Drosophila melanogaster: one gene and its partners. The protein of the gene in region 3 interacts with the protein of the main gene of each other region in a pairwise test. Each region holds a gene or a part of one and is shown on either strand. Other genes may lie near its edges. The genes, in order: CG17568, PHDP, cactin and SmB.

Region 1 (8,148 bases), on a different chromosome or scaffold from region 3:
AAAAACTAAAAACAAAAACAAATTCATATCCCAAGCATTTTTGTAATTTTTAACGAAAAACGACATATTAAAAACTCTAAAAATACGCAAAGAAAACATGAGAATAATTTGTAAGCCGATCATTTTAAGAACAAGTTTATCTAACTTTAAATCAGAACCAAATGGGCAATGTTTAATGCAATAACTAAATAGGAAGCTTAAAAAAACCATTTTTTTATCACACTTTTTTTTTGTAGAAGTACTTATTGTTTTAATATGGTACTGCGTTTGGTAACCTTTTATCTTTAAAAAATATTATTTTTTTGCACTTATCCCTCCATCCAATGTAAGATTCATATTTTTCACATGAAAACATTTGATTTATTTAATTTTTAATTTCATTTCTTGCAGTATTGCACAAATTGCACAGCAACATCAATGAAACCAGCAAGAGCTTCTTGGCAGACAGAATACAGCAACATTTCATTTGAAATAGAAAAGCGAAAGAAACGAAATATTATTAATCAATCACCAAACATTCCCCATACAATTGTGTTATGTTAATGAATTTGTTGTTGAAGAAGAGGATGTAAGAAGGAATGTAATGTAATGGCGATGCATGGACAAGTTTACGTTACGCAATTATTTTAAATCAATTTCGGGACTCAAAAATTATATAAATATTAATGTATTTGCAATTAGTGTAAATGAGTCTCTACGGTCGAACCGCACACAAAGAATTCACACAGACAAGAATCAACGTTGCTAAATCATTGAAATATGCATAAATGTTAGCTCATCTTAATCATAATCGATCATTCAGCATAGATTTTAATATTTATAACGCTATATAGTGCAACTAAGCCGATCATGGTATCATCATCTAGTCATCATGCATACATATATGTATTTTTATAATTAATTATTATTAATATTAAATAAAAAAAAAAACAAAAACAAAAACCAAAACCAAAATGAAACAGAAAATGAAAAGGAACACCAATCTAATGTTAAATGTCGTTATAATTAAGTTTTCTTTGTATACATACATATATATTATGTTTAGCTAACGATTTACCAATTACCAATTTTCCGTGTAAGGATTGATTTTTATGTCTCCCCGCAATTTGAATTTCTCGCTAAAGCCAAGTTGAATTTTAACGTACACAAAAAAAGGAAAAAAACGAGTGAATACTGTATACAGGGTGTTGCTTAAATGGCTTTCATATACTACGTTGTCATATGAAACTAAGACATTTTATCAGCTAAAGTAATAAAAGTAATATGTTTTCTTTATGGTTAATTGTTTACACTGTACGTTCAGTTACAAATCGTATATTTCGCTCAAATTTTGTTTTACACTTAAGATAAATACAAATAAAAAAAAAAAAGAAAATCAAAGACAAAAAAAAAATGTTAAAGCAAATGACAAGAAAATGTGGAAAATATGGACTGACAAGCAAATAATGTATATCATTGAGAGGGTTGGCATTTTTATTCAATACTTATATAAATATAAAGAAAATCTATATTACACGTAGACTTTGTCAGGCAGGCCATTCTCAGCTGTTTCGAACGGGGAAATTGTTAACTTTTTGCGTTGAAATGAAAAAAAGGAAAATAAAATAAAAGGAAAGGAAAAGGAAATATATACACGCCCACCAAATGCATACTATATGCCATATACTGTTTCTAACATGCATACAAAGATTTAACCACAGTACAGAGCAATTACCATTCGGTTTAAGTTTGTAACTGACTTAACTTACTGCCAGGATCAGCTCAGCTCGGCTCCTCAGATACCCTGCATGATACTCACTCGATCAGTCAGTCACTCAATCAGTCAGTCACTCAATCACTCACTCACTCACTCACTCAATCATCCAGTCATTCACTAATCCATCTTTCCCACAAATCCAGCACAATTAAATGTAATCTAAACCAGTAAACCAAGCCACTTTTTTGACAAAACGAAACCGGAAAGGCATTTAACTTGAATCTTCAACATTTTTGAGCACAACCAACTGTTTTTTTTTTCTTTGAATTACATTTAAACTCGTCAAGAAGAAAATTAAAATGTAATCATAATCGTACTTAATTGAATACGATGTAATTGAATGTGAACGTTATTAACTCATTAACTATTATTACTAACTAAGATTCCAACTGTATGCGCATTTTATATATAAACCTATATATATAAAACATTAAGGCAAACCCAAGATAAAAACTCATTAATGTAATGTGTAAGAGAAACAAAAGGTACTTACGGTAAATTATATATGAATATTTTTATACATGTGGAAAACGTAAAAACAGAGAAGAAATCATAATAATTTATTAAAAGCTGAAATTTGCTAGCTAGAGTGGCGAGTTCGGGAATACCTATTTGAATTTGATATGACAACAGATTTTAAACTGTGCTCAAAATGGCAAATCCAATCCAATGGCAAAGTCGACAGCGTCAGCGAGAATTTTTGAAATATAATATGAGAAGGAAATAAAAGTCTTTTTAATGCTTAGGGGCCACAATTTTCGAAGTAATTAAAAAATGAAAAAAAAAAAATGAAATTATTATTATATTAAAATACGGTATTAATTAACATTTAAAAAATGTTGTGTAACATTAATATTAAACCAACCAACAAGAACAACCAGCAACAACAATTGTATTGTAAGAATTTCTATTTCCATTAAACAACAATAAAATTATTTTGTTTTTAAATAACTCGAATGCGTTTTATTATTCGATCAGTGAGTTTTGGCAAGTTTTTGCTACTTGGCAAGCATAAATGACTTAAATGACTTTCTTACTTAATATATTTAGATCTTTGTTTGTAAAATTTGAGATTGCACATTCCTATCTGATGCCAGCTTAAAGGTAAAATATATTATGATTATAATCATGCTAAAACTAGTTTTCTGTTGTTCCTTTTGGTAACTTTTGAGTCCTGAAAATAAAGCATTTAAATAAATCGAATAAACTAGATTTTCTTTACTACAACTCACATAACGCGAAGTTCATCCAACGTTGGAACATTGAGGCGAGAGGGCAACCGTGCTCCATCCTCCTGCTGAACTTCCTGCGGATGTTTCTTGAGCTTGTGCGACCGGCAATTGGCATTACAGGCAAAGGACTTGCCACAGTAGTTGCAAACGTACGGTCGCAGCCCCGTGTGGCTCAGCAAGTGGGTCTTGAGAGTCTTTGAGCGCTTGAAGAGAGCGCCGCAGACATCACACTTCAGGCGCCGCTCCTCGGTGTGCACGACCTTGTGCATGTTCCAGGTGCGACGCGTTTGCAGCTTCTTGCCGCAAATGTTGCACACGAAACTGGGCTCCGCATGGATTTGGTAGTGGGCCTTCAGCCGAGCCCGATTCTTAAAGCCCGCCTTGCAGACGGTGCACTCGAAGGGACGGCTTTCCGTGTGAACCAGCTTGTGTTCATTTAGTGCTGTTATTGTCTTCAGTTGCTTGCCGCAACTATCGCAGATATATGGCTTGACATTCTGGTGTATGCCCTCTTTGTGGAGCTTCAGCGCTGTGGCGGAGGATAGCGTTTTGTTGCAAATATCACAGGTTGTTGTTGTTTTGTCCACTTTCACACGCCGCTCGATCCGGCGGCACTCGCGTTCCAAGTGTTTCTCGTATGAAGCGCGGTTTCTGTAGACCTTGCCACATTTCTCGCAGTCCATTCGACCCCGTTTGGCCTTCTCCTCGGCAGTTGATTCCAGAGTATTTGGCGTGGTTGCCACAGCGACGAGATCCATTAGCTGGCCATCTACGGGCAGGAAATCGTCGTCTCCTTCACAGCTGTCAAGCATTTCTGATTTGACATCATTCTCCATTGAGGCCGGAGAGGTTGTGCTGTCGAGGCGCGGTTGCGATAGTTCCTCCTGAGGCAGTTCGTCTAGCACATCCTCCATGTCCAGTTGACTTGTGTTCTTTTCCAACAGAATGGGACCTAAGTCGATGAATTCTTGCTTGGGTATCTCCATTTCTACGTTCTTTTTGGTTTGAATTAAGTGGGTTGTTGTTGTCCTTTTCGATATTTCCATTTCTTGGCTGCTTGTCTCCGCCAAAGGAAAGTCCTTTAATAGTTCGGCGGGTTTTTGATAAACATTATCGGACTCCATTTCAAGAGCAGGAATTGGCTTTATAATGTGCGTCCAGTCGTCATCGCACAGTCCAAACTGCTGACGCAGTGCAGCCACGTCCATTTCCTGGTCCCCATCTGTTTCTGTTCGCCGCAGGACCTCAAAGATGTCTTGCACTTTGGTCACATGCTCTGCAAAATCGATTAGTTCGCTAATAAGCGTATAGCACTCCGTACACAGCACGCTGCTTAGCTCGTCCTCCAGTTGCATCTGGCGAAAAAATATTTCACATAACAGTTACTGAAGCATATGTTTCATATCACTTACTTGCACTTCGAAGTACTTGCGAATGGCCATTATCAGGACATTGTCCCAGTTTCCCTGAGAATTCTCATTCATTTGCACCTTCACATTGCCGTGGGCGTCGTCCTTGGCGCACAGGCGACACCAGTTCAACCAGTGGCTGCCGTCCGTCATCTTGGCAATGGAACCAAGTGGTCTTATGGGAACACCTTATCGCCGAGAATTAGCAGTTTAATTGTTTACTTTTAGTCCAGATTTGATTCTTTTTCGGGGCAGTGTGACCAGATACAAGTTGTCGCAATCAAACCATGGCAAATTCTTAACGGCATTTTCGTTTAACCCTTATGTTAAACACAACACCCAATAAGACCCATTCCTGCAGACCGTCGATTTCAACTTAATTATTATTGTAATGTACTAGCAAATGAAGAACAAACTCAACCCATTCTAGTAGATTGTGCCCATATGAACTATGTTGTGATATAGTTGGGCTTCAAATATTGAATAATCTTAAAACTGGTATGAATTGAATTTTATTCCTGCGTGCTACTTATCCCTCGTTAGGATACAATGGCTGCGGGGTAACAAGGCATATCCTCCGTTAGGTGGAGTAAGAGTCATTCCTCTCGCATCTCCTGTAAGCGTCTCGTGTCCGTGATCTTGACTAAATGGCCCTATAAATGAATGTTCTACATTTAGCCTTCTCGTCGATGTTTGACCACTAAATGAATACAGAATTTAAGATTACAATTTGTTCGTTTGGGGTATCTGTTAGTTTATTTCAGTTTTTAGTTGTAGACTTGTGTAATAATTTTGGTGATAATCAGCAACGGCATCCAGGGCTGCTACTGCATCCCGGAATGCAACTACCTCGGCAACATGGCACTGCAGCAGTTCCCGTCCAGCAGTTGAAACAAAAGTTGGTGCACTGGATGCAGGAGGGCAGGTTGCAGCAGCCTCCAGGATTGCAGCACATCTTGGATAGGATTAGGATATTTGGGTGGAAGTCAATGGATGGAGAGAATCCACAAAGTAAACAAGGATCACGGATACGCACTCACTCGAGAACCGAAACGAGAATATTGTCTGGAAAATGTGTTTAAATTGAGACTTAGATGAATTTTATTTAAAATATATTTAGACTGACCACGACAAGAAATTTATTTCCAAAAGGTGTTGGTCATTGGGATTCCTGTTCCTGTGTTACTTTAGATGTGTTCAAACCGAGGCTGGGGGAAAGAATGAATGTGATCCCTTCTCGACATTTGGCATCTCCAAAACTGTTGACAGATATCCAATTCAAAGACTACTAGATTGATTGGCTGTTAATTTGTCTCTTTGAATATCTCTAGAAGTTATGACAGTCAAGGAAACCACTGGCTTAATTTAAAACACCGAATTTGTATAGTGTCTGTTGACGGCAGCCAACGTAGTGACGAAGCGCACTGGGAGGATGTGCGAAGGCGACACGAAGTTGTCGGCAGATCATAAGATCAAACCATTCTCAAATTGCAAACGACTTTGCTCGCATTTGAATCTCCATTTTTTCCCCACGAAAATATAAATTTCGAGATCGGACTCGTCTCCAAATCAAGCAGGTTTCACCTTGAGTACGCTAAAGCACGGCGTCGAAATATAGAATTCATCTTTGACACAATCTATTAACATTTATAAAATTCGTTTATTGGGACATGTTGGGTATCTACGAGTGTTTCAGGTACAATATGGTTGAACGTGTTTCGGCACCTGGCACATCCCCACTTCAGCAACAGCCTCTTGGTCCGCAGGGCATAAATGAGCACTGGATGTAGGCTGGGGTGCAGGGTACACAGCAGAGTTCCACGCAGCAGTTGTAGCATCCGCCGCACGGATCGCAGCAGCGAGGTCCACAGGGTCCGCAGCACATGATCTTCCAAGTGAAAGGAAAGCTAAGAATTAATCATATAAATTGTTTTCACTTACGATTTTATTTTGTCTTGGGGAAAAGCGTTCAGGGTATCCTAATTTCCTTCTAAAAGGGCAGCTAAGTGGACTTTAAACCAAATTAGATTGTTCTCTATGCAATGTGAACTAAACACTTACATTTGGCCTATTTACAGAAATAGGATCTTAGAAACAACAAAATAGGTACCGGAAAACGTAAGACACAAACTATTTTCAAAGGTGTTAACACATCGAATTTTGGAATACGAATGGAAAATTCATTTCGCTCAGTCTGTTACGGGGAAATGTGAAGTGACATGAAAAATCAAAGCCAATATGACTATAAAAATGTACACATATCAAGATACATGTGGATGTGGAATTAGTGATTGTGTTGACCAACTTTAAACTAACTAACGAATAAGTAAATTTTAGTTATTGTATATCCTTAGTTGAATAAAAAACCCTTTTTTTCACACAAAAGTTGATATCAGAACTTTTGTGTGTTGAGGTGTGATCGTTACTACTTCCTACCTCGTTCAGAGTTATTTTTGCTTGATTTATGTAAGTTGAATCATTCCTGGAAACTTTTATAATTCCTAAATTGATTATAAAGTATTTTAAATACATATATTATTGTTGATAAAAAAAATAAAAAGTATTGACGGTTGAATTATAAATAATTATCGATTAACCGGCTTTCGAAGCTTCGACAGCAGGACTCCACTGGGGATAATCGATCTGGGTGGCTGCCTCATATTCCTGCACCAAGCAGTCAACCGTGTCCCGTGCGATGTCCAGTTCGGTCAGGTCGTCCTGGAACATGGATTCGCGGCGAAAGTTGTCGAGGAAGGCGTTGCGCTTCCTCAGCTTATCGTACTGGGCCAAGGCCCTCTTGAAGAGCGAACTGATACCCGTGTGATTGGCCATCATCAATCCGGATACCTTGTGGGCCGACTGCACATAGGGCGAGCTGCGCGGCAGAGCCACTTGGATGCTGGCCGGACCCCATGGTATGAAGTTGGCCAGCTTTCGCTCGCGGATGCGCTGCAGCGACTTGTGCACCTGGGATGGATCCACCTCGCCCTGGATGATGTTCAGTATGGAGACGAAGCACTGGCGGCTCTGCTTGTCCGTCAGCGCGGAAACCATCATGTTCTTCGGCTGCAGAAGGCGACGCATTACATCCAAAACGGTGGTCTTTCGAACGCTTGTCTTGGTCTGAAAGTGGTTGCCTCTTTTTATTTGCATTCCCATTTACATATGTCATATCATCATACCTCGCAGTCGGACATTAGCGGAGTATATCCCGTCATCAGGAAGTGCAGCTGGGGCGTGGGAATGAGCGAGGCGGTCAGACCGATGAGGTTGTTGTTCATGTACGAGGGATATCGCAGGGTGGTGGTGCTCAGACTCATGATGGTGGACACCAGATTGTTGATCTGCGTAAAAGTGGGCGTTTGGATGTGCAATCTTTCGGTGGCGATGCGGTTCAGTGCGGTATTATCCAGCACCACCACACTGTCCGCGCACTTGGTCAAACGCTTCAGGGTAAGGATCGAGTTATATGGCTGCACAACCACGTCGCTGATCTCGTCCTGATTGGGAAAAACGCTGTACGTCTGTATGAGCTTCTTGGGAAAGCGTTCGGACAGCCGTTCCAGGACATATGAGCCCATTCCGGACCCAGTTCCGCCGGCTATCGAGTGGCAGAGCACGAATCCCTCCAGCGAATCGCTGCCATCGGCCTCGCGGTCCAGAATGTCGAACACCTCCTCCTGCACCTTCTCACCCTGGCTAAAGCCGGACGCCCAGTTGTTTCCTGCTCCACCGCCGTGCTTGGAGAGGA
Region 2 (7,477 bases), on a different chromosome or scaffold from region 3:
CTCTTCGGATCCCTCCAGCTTGAGGCTTTCAACTATGCTCTGTGCGGCTAAAAGAGTCTCCTTGTGCAGGGCAGCTGAGTTCGAGGCCAGAAAGCTGGAGGCCTCGGGCACTTGTCCGGTTAGGACATAGCCAAGTAGGGCAACGTTCTGCTTCAGCTCTTTCAAGGACCCTTCGCCGGAGCCCAATCGAACCATGGCGCGACCCAGTTTCTTCTCTTCGGTATTTTCGCTGGCGTCGTCGGGGTAATTGCGAATGAACTTCACGCGAACTTTTTCCTAGCAAATTCAGGTATGATTAGTAAACTTGGTAAAATGCCAAAATGAACAAAATCTTAAATAGCTATTTATGAGTGAATAAAGTTTCCAGCCGCTTAGCTGATAATTCAGCCACTATCGAAAATCATCTTACCACTTCAACATTTTTGGCAGGAGGTTGAACTTGAGAGGACTCGAAGGGCTTGAACTCCTTGGCGAAGGACCAGAAGGACTGTAGGGCCAGGGACTCCAGCAACTCGTTGTTGCATAAGTTTCTGTCCACGAGAATAGTGGCCAGCTGGGCAGATTCCACCGCGTGGCCATTGTGCAGCAGGAAGTCCAACAGGAAGCAGCCAGAGAACTGGTCCACAAAGAGCCCGTACTGGATGGGATTACGGAGCACCGATATCGTCTCCTGCGGATTGGTGGAGTCCAGCAATTGCTTGACCAAGACACTGGGAATCAGCGGCACCAAACTGGCCTCCTTCTGTTTCCTGCAAGAGTTATCTTATGAGTAGGGACACTACTTCCAATATGGCCGCACCCACCTGAGCTTGAGCAGCCGGTCCACCAGGTCCATGGGACGGTTATCCGGATTGACGAACACATCCAAATCCACACTCGTTACGGCATGACTGCTGCCTGCGGCGAATTTAGCCGGTCCCTCGTGCGCCACCTTGTTGAATTCCGCCGAGAAGTAGGACACCAGTCTCCTGGGTGGCAGTGCGCAGGAAATCCTCGATCGCAGCATTGTCAATTGTCTTTTTTAATTCATAAAGTGTTATAACCAGCCGATTAACAAATAACATGCAGCTGGCCAAAAGAGCAACAAAATCCCTAGCGCGTTCGCCAGTTAATACCGCAGATAGCGGTATTTTCGTATTCGAAAGCATTGAGGGTATTTCGACTTATAATATGTTGCTTTTTCCGGGAACGATGGAATTGAAAATGTCCTTGGAATATTTGAATAAAATAATTAATTTGAATTCTTTTATTCTAAATGAAAAAACACATAAAATAATCAAATCAAATTGCAACAAAACTATTTAAAAAACGGAAGAGTACGTTTTATATATAGTTAAAAGGCTAAATGATATTTGTATATTTATGTATATATTTAATATCTGTATATACGTTTCACTAATGAAGTGTAGAAAAATGTAAAATGAACAACGATTTCACAGTTTATTAAAATCATTCGAGGGTGTTGAAAGGCGGGCACTACTTATAAATTGCAATATTAAGTTATACATCTGGGCACATATGATTTCAATAAACTGCAATTCAATCTTGATCTTGTTAATTAGATCTGAAAGGTATTCACCGCCAATCCCTGCGGTGGGCACTCCACAACAATTGCTATATTGAGCGCACCGAATCGCCACCATCAACTGATTACACGCCCTAATGCCGATCCAATCCACTTTTTCCACCCGATAATGGGATGACAATTTACCCCTGAAGGGCGTGAGGTTTGGTACTTGTAGATGGTGACCCTTCAACCCCCATTCAAGTCCTTGTTTTTCTTCCCACAGGCTTAGCCGGCTGAGCCCTCAAAAGGGTGCTAAGCCAGTTGTCCCGGATGATATGAAAACAAGCAAAGTGTTACACAGATCTTATTTATTTAACGCAATTCGCTCCAAATAGTCAGTAAAAATAATATCAAAATAACTGCATTCATCAAAATGTATACTAATATTTACATAGATATTAGTGGATTCTATATTTGATCGTATAAGCATTTCATTTGACGGCCATGGCCATTCTGGGGTCCCTTGAGAGATGGGCCCAGGTATTTCGATCCTGCTACAGGATTCTTCCGGCCATCCAATTTGCTCGACTTGTCCTTCATTATGTAAATGGCATGCCTCTCCTGCTTGCGAAACTTGGCTCTTCTGTTCTGGAACCAGACCTAAAACACACAATGGTTTTTTTTTTTTTTAATTTCGATTACTAAGTCGTTTTGTATCCTTCAACAGGATATGACTAAATTCGTTTCGATTGTAAGCTGGCTTCGAGAAACCTATAATATTTGAACCTATCAACAGCAGATCGAGTTCTTTTCAATAGTTATATTATATTATGTAAGTATTATTTGTTATATGTTAATTATTGAAATATGTGTATCCTAAACTACCCACTCACTTAACCAGCAATTCAATCTCATTAGTTTTCCTCACCTGAACTCGAGCTTCCGTCAAGTGCAGCTTGGATGCGATCTCTTCCCTGGTGTAGATATCTGGGTAGTGGGTTTCCAGGAAGATCTTCTCCAGCTCGTTCAGCTGGTTGGACGTGAAAGTGGTGCGAATGCGCCTCTGTTTTGATTTGTCGGTCAGGCTCAAGCCGTCGTCTCCATAGGACTTCAAATGGAAGTCTATGGCGAGGTGAGAGTTGGTTCAAGATTACAATCCATAATCGATCCATCCAGGTGCACTGGCTGCAGGTGGAACTGATGGCCACTGTACTTACCCGTGTTGTAGGAGCCAATGTTATGGGTGGCCGGGTAAAACTCGGAGACAGTGGTGATTTTGGAGAACAATAAGCTCGACTCCTGGTTGAGGGAACCCCGGATTGCGGACTCGTTGGCGCAGAGCTTGTAACTGGAGTCAATCATGAGGTTGTAGTGATTTATGTGATTGGCCACGGAGAGTCCTCCTCCATTGGCGCCGCTGTTGTAGAACTCCGAGTTCGCGGTGTACAAACAATCCTTGTCGAAGTTCGCCTTGTTGAGCAGTGAAAATTCCATCGCATCTGCAGGTAAATTCACACACGGCACTCGATTGAAATTTTACAGCCCGCTAATGAGTCATTCGGCCATAAAACACATAGTTATAGTAGCTCCGCGGCCGCACACACTTTTAACTGCCCTTGAATAAATAAGCTTCGATTACGATTGTATCAACTACAGGACATCCACGTTGGACGAACAAGGATGCTGCACTTGTCTCGGGAGAGCGGGACGGAAAATTTCATTCGTTTCCGCGTTTGGAGGCGGTCCTAACGAGCTCCACTCGACATAGGGGTGGAAATCTGACTTTCCGGCGCGTGTCGTGCACTGCGCGAAAATTCACCGCATTTCCCCAATTGACTTGTCACAGCATGTCTAAAGAATTGGTTTTGGTTTTAATTTCATTGATTGCATCGCTGTCTGTTGGCTCTGATCTAATCTTCACTCAGAAATCTTCTTTTCAATGAATATTTCTTCAAAATCTGAATATTTTCCAAGCTCCATCTTTAAGCGAACTTTTCTTTGAGTGCACCAATTTTCACAGGCCTCAAAAAGCAACACTCAGAAGATTAAATTGGCTTATCGGGCAACCATGACGCTGGGATGTCCTGTCTGAGCGATTAAAGGAAATGCTTCTCTGGGATAATATAAAAAGTAAGAAAAATGAAAATCCTCTTTACGTTGCAATAACTCTTAAGGAACAGCCAAAGTAACATAAATTATAAAATATATTTAAACTTCATATATGAAATGGAAAGGGTATCGGACAGTCCGTCATCACGAGTACAGCACTTCGCCAACTTGATAAAACAAATGGTGTTGTACCGCACACAATGGATAAGAGACACCTTACTATCTTTTCTTGTTTATAACATTGGGCTGATTGAAACATTGTTTAAAGTCACTGGCAGGATACAACCCCTGTTTTCGGAAACAATTATTTGCTCTGCGGATTATTTCGATTAGTTAATTCCTGCTAATCAGAGTCCTGCCTAATTTTTATTTACTCTGCGCTGAAGTCCTTTTTTTTTTGGACACCCTAATGCTGGATTGCTAATAGGATAGGCTGGTTGTTCCATGTGCTGAAGCCATTTAGTTAAATTTTCAAAGAAAAACAGTTCCAAATTCAATGTATCTATCTTCGGAAACAATTTCATTGGGATCAGTTTAGTCAAACATACGAGGTAAAAGTTTAGAATGTGCCTCTTTTTCCAGTTGAAAAATGGTCTTAGTTGCCTTTGTGGATTTTACACATTTGCATGGTAGAGTGAGCCTTTTCTTTTCTTAATCAACGAATTGGAACGACTAAGTCTCTAGGAAAACAAAGCCACCTAATAGATGCACATCATGCTCAAACTAACACTCGTGCAAAAAGAAACTCTACTTTGTAGTAATCATTACTTAAATCGCAAGTCTATGTAAATCGGAGAATTGTTATGGCAATCATAATAATACAACATTACGACATTCCGAAAGTTTTGGAATAAGTTACTGTGTTACATTTTAGGTTAAAATATATCCAATATATGTGTAAAATTATAACCTTTCCAATTGTAATTGTATCAAACGCAAAGATATGAACTCATTTTACATTTAATAAATAGTATAGTAACCAGATGTTGGAGGTGATCGACCTGAACGAAACCCACCTGCATTGTTTGCTTAACCCGATCTCAAACCCACCCCGAAAATCCTGTAAAAACAGCAACATATTATTTAGTTATAGAGCATCTAAATGGGAAGCTAGTTTAAGTAGGTTTCAACCTAGTTGTGGGTGCAAATGAGCCTGGAACTACATGCATCGAACAAGTATCAGGTTCTATTGAGTCATTCTGAAAACAACTAACGTTAGTTTGGAAAACATAAAGTAAAGAAAAAGGGTTTATCATGCATAGGTGTGTGTTGCACTTACACACTAACTTGGTATAGTGAAGGCTTTTTCTTTTGCTAATCACCGAGTTGGAACGACTAACTAAGTCTTTACAAAAACTCAAGCATATGGATATACTTAAACCTATGAGTAACTGAACGGCTAATACCCTAAGATTTATTCAATTGTAAACAAATTCGAGAAATTCGACTTAAAAATGCCTTCTATCGGAATTTCAACAGAATTACAGGAATGTTAATGATCCCTATTGCCATGGAGACAGCATATTATTAACGCCAATCGTTACAACAGCCCTTAACTTCGGTCGAGAAGAAGAAAAGGTCCTTAAGGACTACGCTCGACACCCCCTGTCCTTTAACGGTCTTGCATGTTACCCTCGACTATCCCTAGTTGTAGGAGTGCGCCTCAGCTGGGCGGCCAACTGGTTTTCAAATAGTCAACGGCAGCTAGGAGCAGCGGAGAGTATCGAAGCGGAAAGGTTGTGTCCAACCCCCACACATGCAGGGCGACTTGGTTGGTGGTGGTGCCTGGCCAGCTGCGGAGCGATCTCCCCACATGTCCATGCAAAGATCGTGCTTGTGCTCCGAGAGTCGCGCACAAGTCAAGTGGCACGGGCTATGCGAGGAGGAGGAGGGTTAGGGTAGGAGGATCGTGTGCCGGAGAGGAAGTGCCGGCATTATCTCGGCTAAATTCGAATTCGTTTGGTTACGCTGCGTGGTCTTGGCCAAGAGCTCTCGTTCCTCATTTCTCGGTTTTCAGTTTTCGGTTCTCTGGCGGCCAAGAGCATTTAGTTGCCTTAGTTGTACCATGCCGAGCGGACCGCTGAGTTAGGATCGGTTGAGAAGTCTGGCATACGAGTGGAAGTGGAAGTGTAGATAGGATAGTGACCGTTATGGATACCCTGCTGATCGCCATTCTGGCCATCGGACTGCTCCACAGAGGTACAGCCAGATCCTGTGGCGATCCAGCCAGCAACCGATATGGGAAACGCGATTTTTAAATTAAGAAATGAAATCATTCGGAAGGCGCATATAAACGAATTTCGAATGCGCAAACCTTGAGAAAAATAATGACAAATCGGATATCTATAAATACGAACGTATATCCACATTCGGTTCTGAGTTAACATGTGCTAAAACGGAATATAAACAATATATAAACAATATATAAACAATATGTGCAGATTCGATTATCCTTTAATTTGTGGATTTGAACGGGCTGAAGGATTTTACGTGCAATTATTCGTGTTCGAAACTATATGTTTTTCAATGTGGAAAAAGCGCCAGTGGTTTTGAAGTCGGAGCAATAGATGCTAAGTGGAAAGCAAAAGATTCCAGCGAAAGGAACCTAATAAAATTGAACAGAGTTTTCAGAATTTTGGCACACATGATGACAAACTGCCGAATGAAAAATGTTCAATTTTCTAGCTTTTGTTTGTTATTAGTGTCTATTTTTAAAACGAAACAGGCATCCGCTCATCGCGTTTTCGCTTCTCGTAAATATACGCTTTCGCCAAATTATATAGATTTTTGTGTACAATGTGTTTTGGATTTGCCTGTGCTGCATATGTACATATATTCCAAATAATACCGCGCGTGTTCTGTAATTTCGAGACCTCGTCGTGCTAAAAGCTTTTCGTTTCGTTTCTGAATTCTGCGTTCTAATCAGTAATATTCGCTCTCCCCCAGATGCGCTATGCTATCCCACGAGGGATGAGTCCGAGGACAAGATTATAGTCCTTCAGAACGAGGAGATGGAGCCCACGATCCTGGACTGCGACTACGAGGTGGAGGAGAGCCCGAAGTTCATCACCGTCAAATGGTACAGAGACGACAAGTCCATATACCAGTGGATCTTCGGAACACCTCCATATGCCATCGTGAGTGAACCAAACGGTGTGGTGCGCTTAAGATACTAACCGCTTTCCCCTCCTTGATAGCCCGAGTTCAGGAACGAGATTGACAGCACCTATGAGAGCTCCACGGAGCCGAGCAAGCAGTACAGCTCGCTGGCTTTGATCAACCCCACGATCGCCACCACCGGCGACTACAAGTGCGTGGTGCAGACCTCGCTGAACACCTTCTCCAGCCACCAGAGGGTTCAGGTCATAGACCTGAGGAACTACACCCTGGAGCTGTCCCACAAGACGATCCACAATGAGACGCAGCTGAACTGCACCGTGACGAACGTGTATCCCAGGCCCACCATCACGATAATGTAAGGACGAGCGCCTGCCTTGTCGTAAGACAGCCTTGTAGTAAACAACGTCCCAACTCAACTCCGCTCCTATTACAGATCCAACGACATGGACGTGGTGAAGCGGGAGCCCATGGTGTACGAGAACGAGGAGGGATACTTCGATGGCAGCGCCGTGGTGGCGGCCTACGACACCGACGACGATCCCGATGCCTACCAGTGCGTGGTGTCCTTCGAGGGATACGGCAAGAACCTGACCACGGTGGCCACGTCCGCGGCGGCGGGCAGGAGCCACGTCGACTTCAGCCTGTGGCTGTTTTGTTTTCTGTACTACCTGCTCTGCAAGCTGAAGGTATTGGCCTAAATAAAAGCGTTGTTATTTATTGTTACTAAATTAATGTTTATTG
Region 3 (8,531 bases):
TGTCGGCGTCCATCTGGGTGCGAATGAGAAGTATTAGTGACCTTTTAGTTCTGGTTGTGACAAACGTCCGGCTACTCACCAACTTGATCTTCTTGAGCACGCACTCCACCAGGCACTTCTCCTTCTCACTTGGATTGGTCACCTTCCCCAGCGGTCGCTGGTCCCTGGGCAGCTGCAGCTTCTGGATGCACTCCATCCTGGCCGCGGTGACCAGCTCCTGCACCTGCGGCAAGTTGCGATCGATTACCGCCCAGATGGGCTCCGTTCCGGTCTTGGGCAGCAGCTTGGCGAGATCGAAAGCCTGGGTCTGGCCACGGACGCAGTGCGTCTGCAGCAGGACAGCGACCACTATCGTCATTAGCGGAATGGCTGCGACTGGAGTGGATGGCTTCATCTTGGCAGCTGCTTTCTCTTTGGCTCTGCTCTTGCTTGGCCCCTTGGCTTATAAGCTGACCCATGACCTCACACCATAGTCGTCTGCACATGGCATCGTCGCTTGATTTTGCTGATTGCAAGCATTTCTCCAGTGCCAAGTTCATCACCCAAGTTCGTCACCCGCACAAGTCACGCTCCAAAGACGATATTTGACATCGCCAACGCTATCCAGCGATGTGTCAGTTCACTCGAGACAATGACAATATCGGATTAATGTAGATCTTCAATCTGGAAACCTGATAGGTCTATCAAAGTACCAAGGTTTGTAAGGTATATTCATTTTTGGAATAATACATTTGAAAATATCAATGTTAATTAAAATGAAAGTAAGCCATTTGCTCGCAACCGAATTATTTAGATATATACATATATTATCAATCGGACTTATTTGTTGGATGATTTACCATGTACATATATGTATAATACTCGATCACACAGACTTCCGACCTGTTAAAGATCTTAATGGGGCTAGTAAGCCCCACTCAATCCAATTGGAATAAAAATTAGCATGCAACATGCTCACACGATGCAATCCGATTCCATCTATTGGATTCCACAATAATATAGATTGCGTGCTAAAATCTCCACTCGATGGATGGACAAACAGACTGACTGGATGGAACTCAGATAGCGATCGTTGGCACTCGGAATGATCAGAAAGTCGGCAGGCTGACGGGCAAACTGGGAAATAGGCGGACAGATGAAGGGTATATTATGGCCTAAACGGCCAATTTGGCAGGCGGCAACCGCAGTTCCCAGTTCGCCCAGTTCCATATAATTGTATAATCGCTCGATGGCCCCGCCAGTCACAATCACTCATCTCACCCAGAGCTGTTGATCGATTTAATTACAAGCGGGATTTCTCATCTCTCATTTTGCATTTAGCATTTTGCATTTTCATTTCCATTTCCACTAGCCATAGCCATTCCCAATTCTATATCCCCGGCATTTGCAGCGATTTCATGCCAGTCACCAATTAAGCAGGTAAGTGGAGATCGGTGGGCCATCTCATCTGGCAGCGGCAGTTCCAGCGGGGTGTCACTCGTTCACACGATGCCCAGTCGAGGGCATCTCCGCCGGATTCCGTCCCATCCCGTCCAGAGCGGCGGAGTGAAGTGGAGTGCCATGTGCCATGTGCTGCCCATGTAGTTCATAATTGCGCGTAATTGCCGGAGCTGCTTGAGACGCAGCTGGAGATCGGCGATGGATCCGATCTGCCAAATCAATCACGGGACTCGGCTTAGGCAATAGCTCCTATAAAACGCCGACGTTGCCGGCGATTCGCATCCAAGTCAGAGTTCGCACGTCGCGCAGTTCAATCGCAAATCGAAATGTCGCATCTGGTTCACCTGACCGTCCTGCTCCTAGTGGGCATCCTCTGCCTGGGCGCCACCAGCGCCAAGCCGCACGAGGAGATCAACAGGGACCACGCCGCCGAGCTGGCCAACGAGTGCAAGGCTGAGACGGGAGCCACCGATGGTGAGTCAGATGGTCATCAGTGCAGAAAATTCAGTAGGGAATACAGCTGTCAGCGTACCACTCCTACCTGTGGTGGATGTGTTAGGATAGTTATTGTGCAATTATCAATCATATGATATATCGCTTACAGAGGATGTGGAGCAGCTGATGAGCCACGACCTGCCCGAGAGACACGAGGCCAAGTGCCTGCGCGCCTGCGTGATGAAAAAGCTGCAGATAGTGAGTGCTGCTGCTCCGGCAGGAAGTGTGATCCACTCACCACCACCCATTCCATTCTCCCTCCCATTGCAGATGGATGAATCCGGTAAGCTGAACAAGGAACACGCCATCGAGTTGGTCAAGGTCATGAGCAAGCACGATGCAGAGAAGGAAGACGCTCCCGCCGAGGTGGTGGCCAAGTGCGAGGCCATCGAGACACCCGAGGATCAGTGAGTAGTGCTCGCCGGAAGCTGTTGGCTCAAATCCGGACTATAATCATGCTGCCATTTTCAGTTGCGACGCTGCCTTCGCCTACGAGGAATGCATTTACGAGCAAATGAAGGAGCATGGACTCGAGCTGGAGGAGCACTGAGAACAGATTTGAGACCCATGACGACCCCCCGTTACTGTATCACAAGCGCCCTTCTGGAATATAACCATCTTTTTTTTTTATGTGTATACTATGAATTAAGTACTTGATAAACTGAGAAACTGCAGGCTTGATTGTTTGTTGGATTGTGAAGGGGGATTCGTATGGGTGTGGTTATCCTCCAAGACTCCTCGGGACCCATAATTTACTAATAAAAAATTCTTGCTCAATTTCGACGATTATATTACAATCTTTATTATTATAAATACAAGTACATTTTTTTGTATATCATCTCCCAATCTGGGGCATATTTAAAAGATTCTTACTCACTATTTATTAATGCACGATGTTCTTCGTACCTGGGTTTCTCCAGGTGATATCCTGCGGAGAAGGGACCCAGCCAGGGATGCGCGTTCGCTCTCGGCTCCCCTAAATATGTCCTAGCTTAGCCGACTTAACGCAATCTGTCGGTAAAAATATCTATTTGCTCAACTTGGGCTCCTAGTATAGTATGCTGCCCAAGCCCAGGGAATTCGTGTCGAGAAGACGGCGGCTCCGATTGCGGTCCGTCTACGCAAGGCGAATTCTCAGGGTCTTGGGCTATGGTCATTAAACCTATTAGTTAGTAGCTAGATGAGGTGCACAGGTCATACGCGATCTGCATGGCTGATCTCTACATGTTTTGAAAACAGCCATTAAAAGATCGCGCAAATAGCCTGATTAAACACAGGTAGAGGTAAACAGATGGTAAAAAAAATTTAAATATCTTAGTTGAACCAAAAAAGCAAATAAGTCTAACTGAACGTGGACCTGTGTCCGGCAGCTCTACCCTAGCTTACGTTTATGTTACATATTTTTTGTTTTACACCATCAGTTGCTATTCGCGTTCGCTTCGCTTTTGCAGGCTGGCAGTTTCTATTTCTATTCCCTAGATGATTTATGTAAGCTACCAGTCGGCACCCGCATCCTGTGCCGACTCCGTTCCACCGGATTGTCAGGAACGGAAGCGTCTTAGAGAAAGTAGTCCGCCTGAGGCTTCTTCGAGGGAATGCCGCGACTCTCTTGCGGAGCTGCCTCAAAGATGACGAAGTCGCGGTGCAGGTACTCATTCAGCTCCAGGATGGCAGCTACATTGCCGCAGCTGCATGTGGAGAGATTCCAGAGTTAACAACACAAGTTCGAAATTGCACAGGAGGCTGACTCACCGATAGCAGTAATTGGGTGCCGACCAGACGGTCAGGACGGTTTCGTTGAAGTGCCACTTGAAGCCCTCCATTACCAACTGGTGTGCACGGCAAATCATGTCGATATCGTTCGTGCGGTTGAACTGGGAGACCACGTCCGAGCCAAAGAGATAGCCAGCGCCGCGCGGCGACACGCCCCAGCCAGTCTGGTCCTCCGGATCGCTCCAAAGCAGGTCGCACATGGGCCCGTCGTGCGGCACCTCCTGCTTCCGGTCGATGCTGCGAATCTGGTCGAGGTACTGGATGGACGGCGACAGCCCGCCGTGCACGCAGAATATTTTGCCGTCGATGATCGCCGAAAGGCTGAGGTAGTCAAAGATCTCCGTGCAGTACCGCCACACGGCCGTCGATCCGTACTTGCGCAGGCACTCATCGTAAAAGCCGTAGACCTGTGTGATTTGGCGCGACTCATGGTTGCCCCGGATCAGCGTGATTCGGTCCGGATAGCGCACCTTCAGCGCCAACAGCAGCAGAAACGTCTCCACACTATAGTAGCCGCGGTCCACGAAATCGCCCATAAACAGGTAGTTCTTCTCGGGCACATCGCCGCCAACCTTGAACAGCTCCTTCAGGTCGTAGAACTGACCGTGGATGTCGCCGCACACGGTCACTGGCGAGTCCACACGCTGCACGTTGCCCTCCTCCACCAGGATCTCGCGGGCTTTGGCGCACAGGGCCTTCACCTCGTTCTCCTTGATGATCTCGCAGCGCTTCAGTTGCTCGATCTGTCGGTCCAGGTCGCTGTAGTCGGACATCTTCACCCGGAGGATGGCGGCAGCCGAGGCGACGGGGAAGCGGTGAATCGGACTGCAGGCGTTGACAGGGCGGGGACAGCGTTGTTAGTCGTTCACCAAACTGGCGCGGGTGGTTTTCAGGTAGCCACAAGGTTGCATAAGAGAAATACTATAAATTTTTGGTCGCTTGAGTGATAGGATAGGGTACTACTCTAGTCGTGCACAGCAAGTCTAGCGTTTTAGAGGCCATAAAGTGCATCTGTATAGCTGCATCCCCCACATCTAAGAATCAAGACGATTCAACTATATTTACGGATTGGGCAAATAATATAAACACACACATTCGCGTTCCCAGCTATTCCACTTGTTGAGATAGTCCATGAGGCTATTTCGCAATGAAAAGCCAACCAACGAGAAAAGAGGCTATATTCTCGATATAACTTCTTTTAGCTGTTTTAGATGGCTGTGTTTTAAGTGAATGCATACACATTTCTTTCAAATACGAAACGTGTATTTGACAGTGGATAGGGTTGGATTTGTTTTAAATCCAGAATTTCTGGATTAGAGATTAGTTCAGATTTTCAGTTGCTGCTGAACTGGAAGTAAGGTAACTAATAGTCGACTAATAACCATCCTTTTGTTTGTGTTTCGGTTTTTGAGTTCGCCTGCATGCGTCTGTGTGCGTCGGCTTTGTGCGGATGCTCGCGTGTGTGTGTGCGTCTGGCTTGTCGCTGGCCTTTTTGCCGCGCGCGATTTTCACCGTCTGCCGTGTTTTTCCTGTCTTCCCCGACACTTTTCCAGAATCACTACTTACTCAGCGCAGTGGCGGGCTATCTGGACAATCCTTTTGCTGGTAGCTCGGCTCTCGTGTTGGCGATTGAATACAAAAAATGCACATAAACGTTTTTGCCAACCGGGTTTCTGCGAAGAGCTGGATTGGCTACTTGCGTTTGTATCGATATATTGAGTAATGGCACTTGCAATGACACATCGAGTCTTCAGTTTCGATAGTGGGCATTACCACGAAGACCCTAAAAAGCCTTTTACACTGCACCAAGGATTCCATCGATAAATTATTTATTTTTGTGTATTTATAATACGCTGCAGCCGAAATTTTAAAATTTAAAGTTTGTAAAAACTAACCCTTGGAAAAATAAATCGACTTATCGGCAAGAGGGAGATGTGTTAATGTTATAATGCTTATATCGATAGCACTTTTGCAATTATTAGTGGCTATCTGGGTTGGTTTTCTCCATCTGGCAACGCTAGCATTGTTTATATTTTATTTCACAAGTTTTATCCCGAAAAACTCATTAAAAAAGATGCCCAAGGAGAAATCCAAGCACCGGCATCGCAGCCGCAGTCGGGAGAGGCGGGATCATCGCAGTCCGGATCCGAGGAGCAGCAGGAACAGGGATCGGGATCGTGAACGCGAGCGGGAAAAGGATCGTGACCACAGAGATCACAGAGACAAGGAACGTGACCAGCGCAGGGAAAGGGAAAAGGACAAAAGCAGGGACAAGAAGCGGGAGCACAAAAGCCGGAGACGCCGGTCCTCTTCCTCCAGCTCATCCCCGTCGAGTTCGACGTCCAGCTCGGTGCCCGGTGCCCCTCGTTCGCCGCTGGTAAAAAGCCCGATGAAGCTTCTCCAGACGCTGGAAGCCCGTCGCCTCGTCGAGCAGAAGGATCGTCAGCGTAAAAAGGAGGAGCTGAAGGCCCATGAAACGCCCGAGGAGAAGCGCGCCCGTCGCCTGCGCGAAAAGCAGGCCAAGGAGCAGCGGCGTCGCGAACGAATGGGCTGGGACAACGAGTACCAGACGTACTCCAACGAAGACAACCCGTTCGGGGACTCCAATCTCACCTCCACCTTCCACTGGGGCAAAAAGCTGGAGGTAGAGGGACTATCAAATCTCTCCACCAAAACCGTAGAGGTACTGTCTCTGCAAAAGCAGTTGGAAAATCGCAGGGAGCTGGAGAAGGTCAAGAAACGGCGTCAGGAGAGGGAGCTGGAGCGGCAGGTGCGCGAGGATGATCTTATGATGCAGCAGCGCGCCAAGGAGGCGGTGCAGTTCCGCGAGTGGCAGCGACAGGAAGATCAGTTTCACTTAGAGCAGGCACGCTTGCGCAGTGAAATCCGGATCCGAGATGGACGTGCCAAGCCCATCGATCTTCTCGCCCAATATGTGGCCGCTGGGAATGAGCCGCTCGAAGAGTGCCTCGAGATGCAGATGCACGAGCCCTATGTGCTGCTAAACGGCCTGCCCGTGGAAGAACTGGAGGACCTGCTGGTCGACATTAAGGTATACGAAGAGCTGGAGCAGGGCAAGCACATCGATTTCTGGAACGATATGATCACCATTGTGCAGGATGAACTGCAGCGCCAACAGAAACTGGAGGCGGAGAATAGTTCGCTCAATCAACGCCGGGATGGCATCCACCAGGCGGTGGTAAAGGATGTGGCCGATATTTTTAGGGGGAAGAATGCTCAGCAGCTGGAGGAGATGCGGCACCGCATCGAGGCCAAGATCAGTGGGCGAGCGGATGGCGTCGACATTAGCTACTGGGAAAGCCTGCTCTCGCAACTCAAGGCACACATGGCCAGAGCTCGACTGCGAGATCGCCATCAAGCCTTATTGCGCGAGAAGCTGTCGCTGCTCAAGCGAGAAAACGATAATGAGACGTTGCAAGAGAAGGTGGCCCCACAAGTCAAGGAAGAGGAGATGGAAACCCAGGACGCAGAGGACCCGGAGGTTGAGGAGGGCTCACCCGAAGACGAGGAGGATCCCCTGAATGAGCTGCGTAAAACAGTGCGTCTTTACCAGGCAGGGAACTACAGCCCGCGCTATATACGCGAAGAGGACTTCACCGGCAGACGAGCGCAAAACGAAGACGTCGACGAACCGGAGGCAGAAGGACTTCTCTACGAGGAGGAGGACGACGAGCGGCGAACACAGAGACAGCGTCTGCTAATCCTTCATCCAGAACGAGTGGATAACAATCAACTGACCCCGCAGGAACTGCGAATGCGCAACGAGGCGAAGCAGGGAATGCAGGGTGACGAGGCCGAGTTCAGTGTGGAGACCACCCTGGATGCAGTGCCGCAGCTGGCCACCGATAAGTACCGACCACGAAAGCCGCGCTACTTCAATCGCGTGCACACCGGCTTCGAGTGGAACAAGTACAACCAGACGCACTACGACATGGACAATCCCCCGCCCAAGATCGTGCAGGGATACAAGTTCAACATATTCTATCCGGACCTTATGGACAAATCGCAGACGCCGCAGTACTTCCTCACTCCCTGCGCGGACAACGGGGACTTTGCGGTGCTGCGTTTCCACACAGGACCACCGTACGAGGACATCGCCTTCAAGATCGTCAACCGGGAGTGGGAGTTTAGCTACAAGCGGGGCTTCCGCTGCCAGTTCCACAACAACATCTTCCAGCTGTGGTTCCACTTCAAGCGCTATCGCTACAGGCGGTGAAGGATTGTCACCGTCTGGCCTAGATTACCCAAACCATCCTTTTGTGCAGTCCTATGTTATTTTCCAATAAAGTGTAAGCCCAGAACAACTAGCAAACTCGTTCCATTTATTGCGATTGTTTAGTTGACTCCACTTAAACTGAAAACTGTTGTTTAACCTTTACCCATTTTTCAATTCATCCATCTTGCAAATAAGGAGAGCATTATAATGTTATATTTATTATTATATATGTATATACCATATATCACAGGATTTCAAATGGGTTCCACAAATGTTGGTGTAAGCGTGAAGCTATCGTGTTTAAACAGTCTAGGCGTGAAAGTAGGAGATCACATCACGACGCAGTCCTTGATGGGCTGCTCCAGGACTTTCTCCACGGGCTCTCCACGCTCCGCCTTCTGCACTTGGGCCAGGACACTCGCGTGCTGGGGAAATGCCAGGCAGGAAAGCTTCGAGTGCACTAGCTGACCGTCGATGGACACCTCGAAGGATCCCCGCCGTCCCGTGCGACAGGATATGTCCAAGTCGGGCGACGAGGCCAGCAGGAACTCGCGCAGCAGGTGGCACTGCCCGCTAAAGTTGCAGA
Region 4 (7,340 bases), on a different chromosome or scaffold from region 3:
TGAATCACGTATCTCCATTCACCTTCCCCAGTCCGAGAATCGGATTGTTTATAACCGCATTATCATCGAGTGCGTTAAATAGGGCGTAGGCGTACCATCGGACTGGATCCACCTTAAATAATATGGCTGCCGAGATAAAACCAGCTCAGCGGACCAACAATGATCGCTTTAACACCTCCAAAAAGCCGGAATTGCTGAGTAAGCTGGAGGGCAGCAGCGACGATGTGAACGCAGCGATCCTAATTCCGGGCGAAAACGGCGTAATTAGCGTTTCCGATGACAAGTGCGTAGCTGTAGCCCATTAAAAATATACACAAATGGTATGCCTGACATTTTCATGTTTTCCCCAATAGAACCGTTCGCGTTTGGCTAAAACGCGATTCTGGTCAATATTGGCCTAGCATTTGCCAGTATATGCCTTCCGGCTGCACGGCCATCGAGTACGTTTCGGAATCCCGGCACCTGTACGTCGGCCAGGAAAACGGAACGGTCACCCAGTACGCGCTATCCGAAGACTGCAATCGCCTGTCCTTCCTGCGGGATTACTTGTCCCATCAAGCGCGGGTCATGGCCGTGGTCTTCTCGAAAACCCACAAGTGGATACTCTCCGCCGGCAAAGATAAGCAGTTCGCCTATCATTGCACGGAGAGCGGCAAACGGGTGGGCGGATACAACTTTGAGACACCATGCACGGCTCTCCAGTAAGTATGATAAATGGATGGTGAAAGGGGGAAGGGGGTGCGACAGTGGATATGGGATAAGCGGGTCATTTAATTGGATTAAACTGCTTTCTTTGACACGGCAATAAACTGCAATTCTTCACGGCTATGGAATTCATTTAGAATTTGAGAACCTTCTATTGTTAATGACGTGTCAACTGAGTCATTTTATCTACACAAAATTTTGGCATAAATGTGTGCACTGTGCGAAATATTCTATAAGCAACATATAATTAATTATAATCTGCGTTTAGGTTCGACGCTTTGGCCAAGTATGCCTTTGTGGGCGATCATGCTGGACAGATAACAATGCTAAGGTGCGATGTTCAGGGAGTGCAACTAATTACCACTTTCAATGGACATTCGGGTAAACAAGTTACAAATGATATTTAGTAAGCTAATTATATACGAATTGGTTAATTTTTAGCGGAAATCCGGTGCCTCAAATGGGTGGAAGGCCCTCAGCTCTTGTTTAGCGGAGCTTGCGATCAGTCCGTGCTAGTTTGGGATGTTGGTGGCAAACGTGGCACCATTTACGAGCTGCAGGGACATAGGTATCTCCAATCTTAAATAATATTCATAAAATAAGATAGTAATCGGCACTTCTGATTATGTAGCAACAAAGTTTCCGCCCTGTCGTACGCGAATCACACGCAACAACTGATAAGCTGTGGCGAAGATTCAGTAGTGGTTTTTTGGGAAATGAATGCAATGCGGAAAGAGGTTCCTGGCTGGGTGGATACCAACAACTGTCAGCTTTGCTCCAGGCCCTTCTTCTGGAACTTCCGCTCAATGATGGATCAAAAGCAGCTGGGTGAGATAAATAGCTTACACTTGAGTTACTCTTTGTTTTACAAGTAATTTCTGACTGTCAGGAATACGACAGCATCATTGTCGCCACTGCGGCAAAGCCGTGTGCGACAACTGTTCCACCAATCGCATTAACATACCCATAATGGGCTTCGAGTTTGATGTGCGTACCTGTGATCCGTGCTACAAACAACTTCAGACAGTCGAGCGCCCCTCGCTGGCTTCATTCAATGACGCCAAGCATTCGATCGTCTACATGGACCTGGACGAGGACAGAAAGCGCCTGTTGACAGTGGGCCAGGACAGGCTCATCAAGATCTGGGATCTCTCCAACATCTGGGCATAAAACATCCTGTACGCACACGCACGTACCAAAGGTATAATCATTCACGAGGCGTTTCGGTCTTAACTGGAACACCCAATTAACGAACGATGTGGCTGGCAACGACCAAATCCAGTCCCTGCTGCTTAGGTTCTCATATAATTGATGTAAAGCAATAATCATTGTATGTACGTATGCTTACATTCAACACATAAATACACGAATCCATCGATTAAGTGGTGTTTTCTAAATGAGTTTTTATTAGATTGTACTTTATACTTAATAGCCACCCCTGCCCGGTGGTGGTGCTCCACGGATCATGCTGGGCGGCGGTCCGCGCATCGGTGGCGGAGCACCGCGTCCCATGTTTCCTGGCATCGAGGGCATGCCGCCGGGAATCATGCCCGGTGGCGGTGCACCCATCATCGGTGCTCGTGGCACTCCTCGTCCCATCGGAGCCATGTGCTGTTGGGCGGGTCCGCCCACACCTCTCACGGGACCCTGGAGACCCGCTGGCACGGCGGACAAGTTGATAGGCATTCCGCGTCCGGCCACGCGACCGATTCCCGGACCAGGAGCTGCTCCCGGAATGGGAACTCGGGGCAGGCCCTCCTCTGGCGGCGGTGGTCCCTCCACCGTCAGTGAAACTATGTTCTCGCCGCGCAGCAATACAAAGCCCAGCACGCGCTTCTCCTCGCGCTCGGGCACCTTGGAATTCTTCGAGCGAATCTTCCGGAACTCCTCGCAGTCGCCGAGGATCAAGTTCATGTGTTTGTCGAAGGCTTTGAAGGTACCGATGAAGGTACGCGAGTCCTGCAGCACGATTCGCACCCGATAATTCAGGTGCTGAATCATTTTGTTGTTCTTGCCGATCGTCTGAAATAAAGGAATTCAAAGGATTTAATTGTGAAATACAATAGCATGCATAAAAGTCGCGCCATCTTTTGTAAACCATTTCGACCCTTTAAAAAAGCCGGTATTTATAAAAATTTTAATAAACCACAGAGTTTGAAATAGCAAATCTCAGCGTAATATCGAAGATCACTAAAAATCATAATTTTAAACAAATATAAAATAGTTAATTAGCCAAAACAAATTGTTTTATTTATTCGCATGCATGTTTGTATGTATGTATGCCTATGTAAATACGAAATCGCAACCGCGAAAGTAAGAATCTATGAATTAATACAACTAAACAAAACTTAACCATTGCAGTCAGATGCTTAAAACAGTGTTTTTACTTACCATTTTATTTGATTTCTATGTTAATTCTATCGCTTGTAAATAAAATACAGATGCCGGAACCTCACCACGGCTTTTTTCGATAGGCATGAAGAATAAATCGAGTGGCGTGTGCGGCGGTCAGCATTTTCTGGTGTCTTTCAATCGAGCCTATCGAATATAAATTTTTTATTGATAATCCACATGATTTTTTAAACAAACATTCGACTATCCCTAGCAAAAGAAGAGAAAAAAATTAAATTTTTTTTAAATCTTATGATAAAAAACGAAAAAAGAAAAAATTTGAATCAGTATGTTTTTTCTCAATTTTTTTCGTTAGAGATGGTCGAATTTTCATTAAAAAAATCATGTGGCGGCACTTATCGATATCGATAGGCAGTGGCCATGTTATCAAACTTATTCTTATTCATCAGCCACGTCATTGTTTATGCCGACATTCTGACAAGTTTTTTTCCGAAGCGGCAAAGCCCTCACATCTCTACTCGTTGGCAAATTAGGCGAAAAGTCATTTTGGTAACGTATGCAGCTGTTGAAACACTGAATGCCGCCATTATTGCTATAGTATACACTCCCATTTTCATATAGGCGTGCGTTCCGTGACGCAGCCGCAGCGAAAGGAAGTAGAACAATCAAACAGCCAACCGGGCAGCCAAGTAGCCAAGTCGGCGGATTAGATCACGATGAATATCTTTCGCTTTGCTGGGGATCTGTCGCATGTGTTTGCCATCATAATACTGCTGCTGAAGATATGGAAGACCCGCTCGTGCGCCGGAATATCGGGCAAGTCGCAGATCCTGTTCGCCGTGGTCTATCTGACGCGCTACCTGGATCTGTTCACCACCTACGTGAGCCTGTACAACTCGGTGATGAAGGTGTTGTTCCTGGCCACGTCCGGTGCCACCGTGTATTTGATGTACGTGAAGTTTAAGGCCACCTATGACCACAATCACGATTCGTTCCGCATCGAATTCCTGCTGGTGCCGTGCGCCCTGCTCTCGCTGGTGATCAATCATGAGTTTACCGTGATGGAAGTGCTGTGGACATTCTCGATCTATTTGGAATCGGTGGCCATTCTGCCGCAGCTGTTCCTAGTGAGCAGAACCGGCGAGGCCGAGTCCATCACCAGCCACTACCTCTTCGCCCTGGGATCGTACCGTGCACTCTACTTGCTCAACTGGGTCTACCGGTACATGGTCGAGTCGCACTACGACCTTATCGCGATCTTCGCCGGAGTTGTCCAGACCGTCTTGTACTGCGACTTCTTCTACTTATACATTACCAAAGTTCTTAAGGGCAAGAAGCTCCAGCTGCCGGCATAAGCGGATGATGGATAAGTGCATAGATGTGGGACATTTGTGTTTTGTCGGCACACATCATCAATCGACGTCAGAGTAAACAAGCGAGCGATCCACGGCCCGTTTGACAACGCGTATTTCGTTCATATTATACAAAAGATACATAATCGAGGGGAGCGCCTAAGTTGTAATTATTTAATGAGAAATAAACCGAAAATCGAAAGTACACTATAAACTATGCAATACCGACATCGTACATTGAAAATGTAACAAATGTATTAATCTCCGTTTTCCGAACTGCACTCACAAATTTTAGAATCCAAAAATATTAAAAAAAAAAATCATTACTCCAGTAAGAGATAACGTTAATTGACAAAATCGAAACAAATGTTTTCTCTTTTGCGCGGAGGCTTATCTGATTCGCAATAGTATCACAGAAGAGGTCATAGATTTCTTTGTTTAATTAAGAATTTAAAGTTATGCATTAAATAGCTCTTAAGTCGACTGTATCCTAAAAATCCGAGTAAAGTTAAGTCTTATTGTGTGGCTAATAGTAAAGTAAATGATGAGCGATGTCAACATATAATACACATAATATTCTGAAAAATAGGCCGCAGGATCGTAGGAACTCCATGTGCTGTTTTGCACAACTTCTATTGAATTCCGAAAAGATATATTAAATTTCTGCAACACCCTCGTTTCCCCTTGCACGCTTCGCAGTCATGCCAGATGCAAATGGAAAATTTAATTTATATGGAGATCATGTACGAAACAAATACGAACCTAATGTGGCATAAATAATATTTTAAACACTTTTGCAGATATTATATTATAAACAAAGTACAATAAACAACTCGATTTTCTTTTATTTATTAGATTACAATGCAAAGAGTTAGTAAGGATGTATAAATATATATTACATCTCTATAAATTGTTTAGTTTCCAAAAACTTGAAGCACTGTGCCGTTATCAAAAAAGGGGGAATACCCCTAACACTCGGCTGTTATCTGTAAAAATATTTACAGCACTGCCACACTGCAAAAATGTCATAATCAAAACAAAATGAGAAGAATTGGTCTTTTAAATAGTTTAATGCGCCAGAAAACGACTGCCAGAAACTTGTTTCAGTTCGGCAAAGTTAAGGGGTATGGGCTCCGGCTTATCTCTTTCAGGACTCTATTCTGATGGGTATACTTACAGAGATACTGGCAAATATGAACAGATCGTGTCCACCGGCCAAGTTTCCCCGGAACGTTTTGTGCCCGAGGAGATCAAGAAACCGGCGTACTACTTCAAGAATATGCCACCGGGTAACACGCTGGGATCGCCCGAAATCAAAAGCCAGGTTCAGATTGATGCCATGCGTCTAAGCGGCAGACTGGCGGCCAGGATACTGCGCGAATGCGGTAAACTAGCAACAGTTGGCACAACCACCGATCAGATTGATGCCTTTGCGCATGAAAGAATTCTCGAGTCCAAAGCGTATCCGTCGCCGCTGAGATACGCCGGCTTCCCAAAGTCCATTTGCACGTCGATCAACAATATCGCCTGTCACGGAATTCCGGATGACCGGCAGTTGGCCGATGGGGATATTATAAATATTGATGTCACAGTCTTTTTGAACGGCTACCATGGCGACTGTTCGGAAACATTTCGGGTGGGCAACGTGGACGAACGGGGTGGCTTTCTCGTGGAGGCCACTAAATCCTGTTTGGATCAGTGCATTTCGCTGTGCGGCCCCGGTGTGGAATTCAATGAGATTGGAAAGTTCATAGACAGATATTGCGACGAACATGATCTGGCATCGATAGCTGCTTTCATTGGACATGGAATCGGTAGCTATTTCCACGGCCCCCCGGAGATACTACACTATTGTAAGTAAGACTGTTTAAGAGACTCCTCCATTGCTAATCAAACTGCACATCGTAGATAATGAGATTCCTGGAAAGATGCAGCCCGGCATGACCTTCACCATTGAACCCATTCTGTCCCTGGGCGGAGCAGAAATAGCAGTGCTGCAAGATGGCTGGACGGCCATTAGTTTGGATGGCGCACGTAGCGCCCAGTTCGAGCACACCATTCTGATAACCGAGACGGGAACGGAGATACTTACAAGAGATCAATAGAATTTTATGTACATGATGCAATTTTTATTCGTGATTCCCATAAAGTGTTGAATGAGTGCTGGATGGCAGTCTTGTGCATTTTGTGCCGTTTTAATCGTCGACTCCGTCTGGTTAGGTGCTCTAATTGATTGATGATGCATACAGAATTTAGCTACAAATCGCATTGGACTTCTGCACCGGCTTCTGAATGGGAAGGAAGAGCTTAAACTCCGGCGGCAGCTCGTCCTCCGAGTAGAGACGATCGGAGAAGTAGACGCGTCTGATGCGGCAATTTGCATGAATCTGTACACGGAGTGTCTCCACATAATTGGTGCCGTATGCGCGACGCGTGAAGTCGGACAGGTTGAACTGGATCTGGTTCCATCCCTCGTCCAATCGCATGGGCATGGTGCAAATGAAAGGCTTGACACGAGTTGTCGACTGGTAGTTACTGGCCCTAAACCTTCGCCGCACGTTCTTGTCATCGAGAACCTGATTAGGGGCGGAAATCATGGAGTTACTGTCTTATGCAAGATGACGAAGCTTACCTGAACCTCGAAGGTGAAGTACTTCTTCATGTTCTTGATGATCATCACCAGGAAGGGCAGCTTGATGCCCAGCGTCTTCTTCGGATCTGCCGGACATGTTATGAACGTGGTGCTGACATTGGTGCCGACTATTTCCAACACGAGGCTTTGTATGTCGTTGTCGGTGATCCGCTTGATGTGTCCATTGCGCACCTTCTTATCCCACAGCTGCAGTGGCTTTGAGCCAATACTGTACAGAATTGATAGGAATCCCGATTGGAAAGTGTTTTTGAACATTTCGCGACTGCTGTGCAGTGACC

Evidence for each region.
Region 1: the proteins of cactin (region 3) and CG17568 interact in a two-hybrid assay, tested with the Drosophila melanogaster proteins (one large-scale study listed by BioGRID).
Region 2: the proteins of cactin (region 3) and PHDP interact in a two-hybrid assay, tested with the Drosophila melanogaster proteins (one large-scale study listed by BioGRID).
Region 4: the proteins of cactin (region 3) and SmB interact in a two-hybrid assay, tested with the Drosophila melanogaster proteins (one large-scale study listed by BioGRID).

What each region holds. Positions count from the first base shown.
Region 1 is NT_033779.5:19,177,054-19,185,201, forward strand, and holds CG17568 (uncharacterized protein), read right to left. Parts: upstream 4,650-8,148; 5' UTR 4,551-4,649; coding exon 4,401-4,550; intron 4,344-4,400; coding exon 2,989-4,343; intron 2,931-2,988; coding exon 2,894-2,930; 3' UTR 2,696-2,893; downstream 1-2,695. Other genes in the region: brat (brain tumor), read left to right, coding at 391-470; CG42688 (uncharacterized protein), read right to left, coding at 5,200-5,352; CG46059 (uncharacterized protein), read right to left, coding at 6,139-6,282; gammaTub37C (gamma-Tubulin at 37C), read right to left, coding at 6,990-7,520, 7,580-8,148.
Region 2 is NT_033778.4:23,881,312-23,888,788, forward strand, and holds PHDP (putative homeodomain protein), read right to left. Parts: upstream 3,130-7,477; 5' UTR 3,002-3,129; coding exon 2,725-3,001; intron 2,630-2,724; coding exon 2,436-2,629; intron 2,168-2,435; coding exon 1,976-2,167; 3' UTR 1,825-1,975; downstream 1-1,824. Other genes in the region: CG4882 (uncharacterized protein), read right to left, coding at 1-276, 410-749, 804-1,006; CG5597 (uncharacterized protein), read left to right, coding at 5,767-5,815, 6,563-6,753, 6,814-7,091, 7,170-7,434.
Region 3 is NC_004354.4:20,418,372-20,426,902, forward strand, and holds cactin (cactin), read left to right. Parts: upstream 1-5,697; 5' UTR 5,698-5,782; coding exon 5,783-7,945; 3' UTR 7,946-8,031; downstream 8,032-8,531. Other genes in the region: Obp19c (Odorant-binding protein 19c), read right to left, coding at 1-13, 80-394; Obp19d (Odorant-binding protein 19d), read left to right, coding at 1,767-1,914, 2,045-2,133, 2,206-2,342, 2,407-2,485; Pp4-19C (protein phosphatase 19C), read right to left, coding at 3,494-3,623, 3,688-4,481; CG15456 (uncharacterized protein), read right to left, coding at 8,275-8,531. UniProt on the Drosophila melanogaster protein: Plays a role in pre-mRNA splicing by facilitating excision of a subset of introns. Plays a role during early embryonic development. Involved in the dorsal-ventral embryonic patterning.
Region 4 is NT_033779.5:10,423,398-10,430,737, forward strand, and holds SmB (small ribonucleoprotein particle protein SmB), read right to left. Parts: upstream 3,231-7,340; 5' UTR 3,100-3,230; coding exon 3,097-3,099; intron 2,728-3,096; coding exon 2,131-2,727; 3' UTR 2,086-2,130; downstream 1-2,085. Other genes in the region: Wdfy2 (WD repeat and FYVE domain containing 2), read left to right, coding at 123-283, 354-701, 974-1,086, 1,147-1,273, 1,337-1,533, 1,595-1,875; KdelR (KDEL receptor), read left to right, coding at 3,774-4,412; CG5188 (uncharacterized protein), read left to right, coding at 5,451-5,533, 5,589-6,262, 6,318-6,514; Bug22 (basal body up regulated gene 22), read right to left, coding at 6,662-6,985, 7,042-7,317. UniProt on the Drosophila melanogaster protein: Plays a role in pre-mRNA splicing as a core component of the spliceosomal U1, U2, U4 and U5 small nuclear ribonucleoproteins (snRNPs), the building blocks of the spliceosome. Involved in germline establishment and development.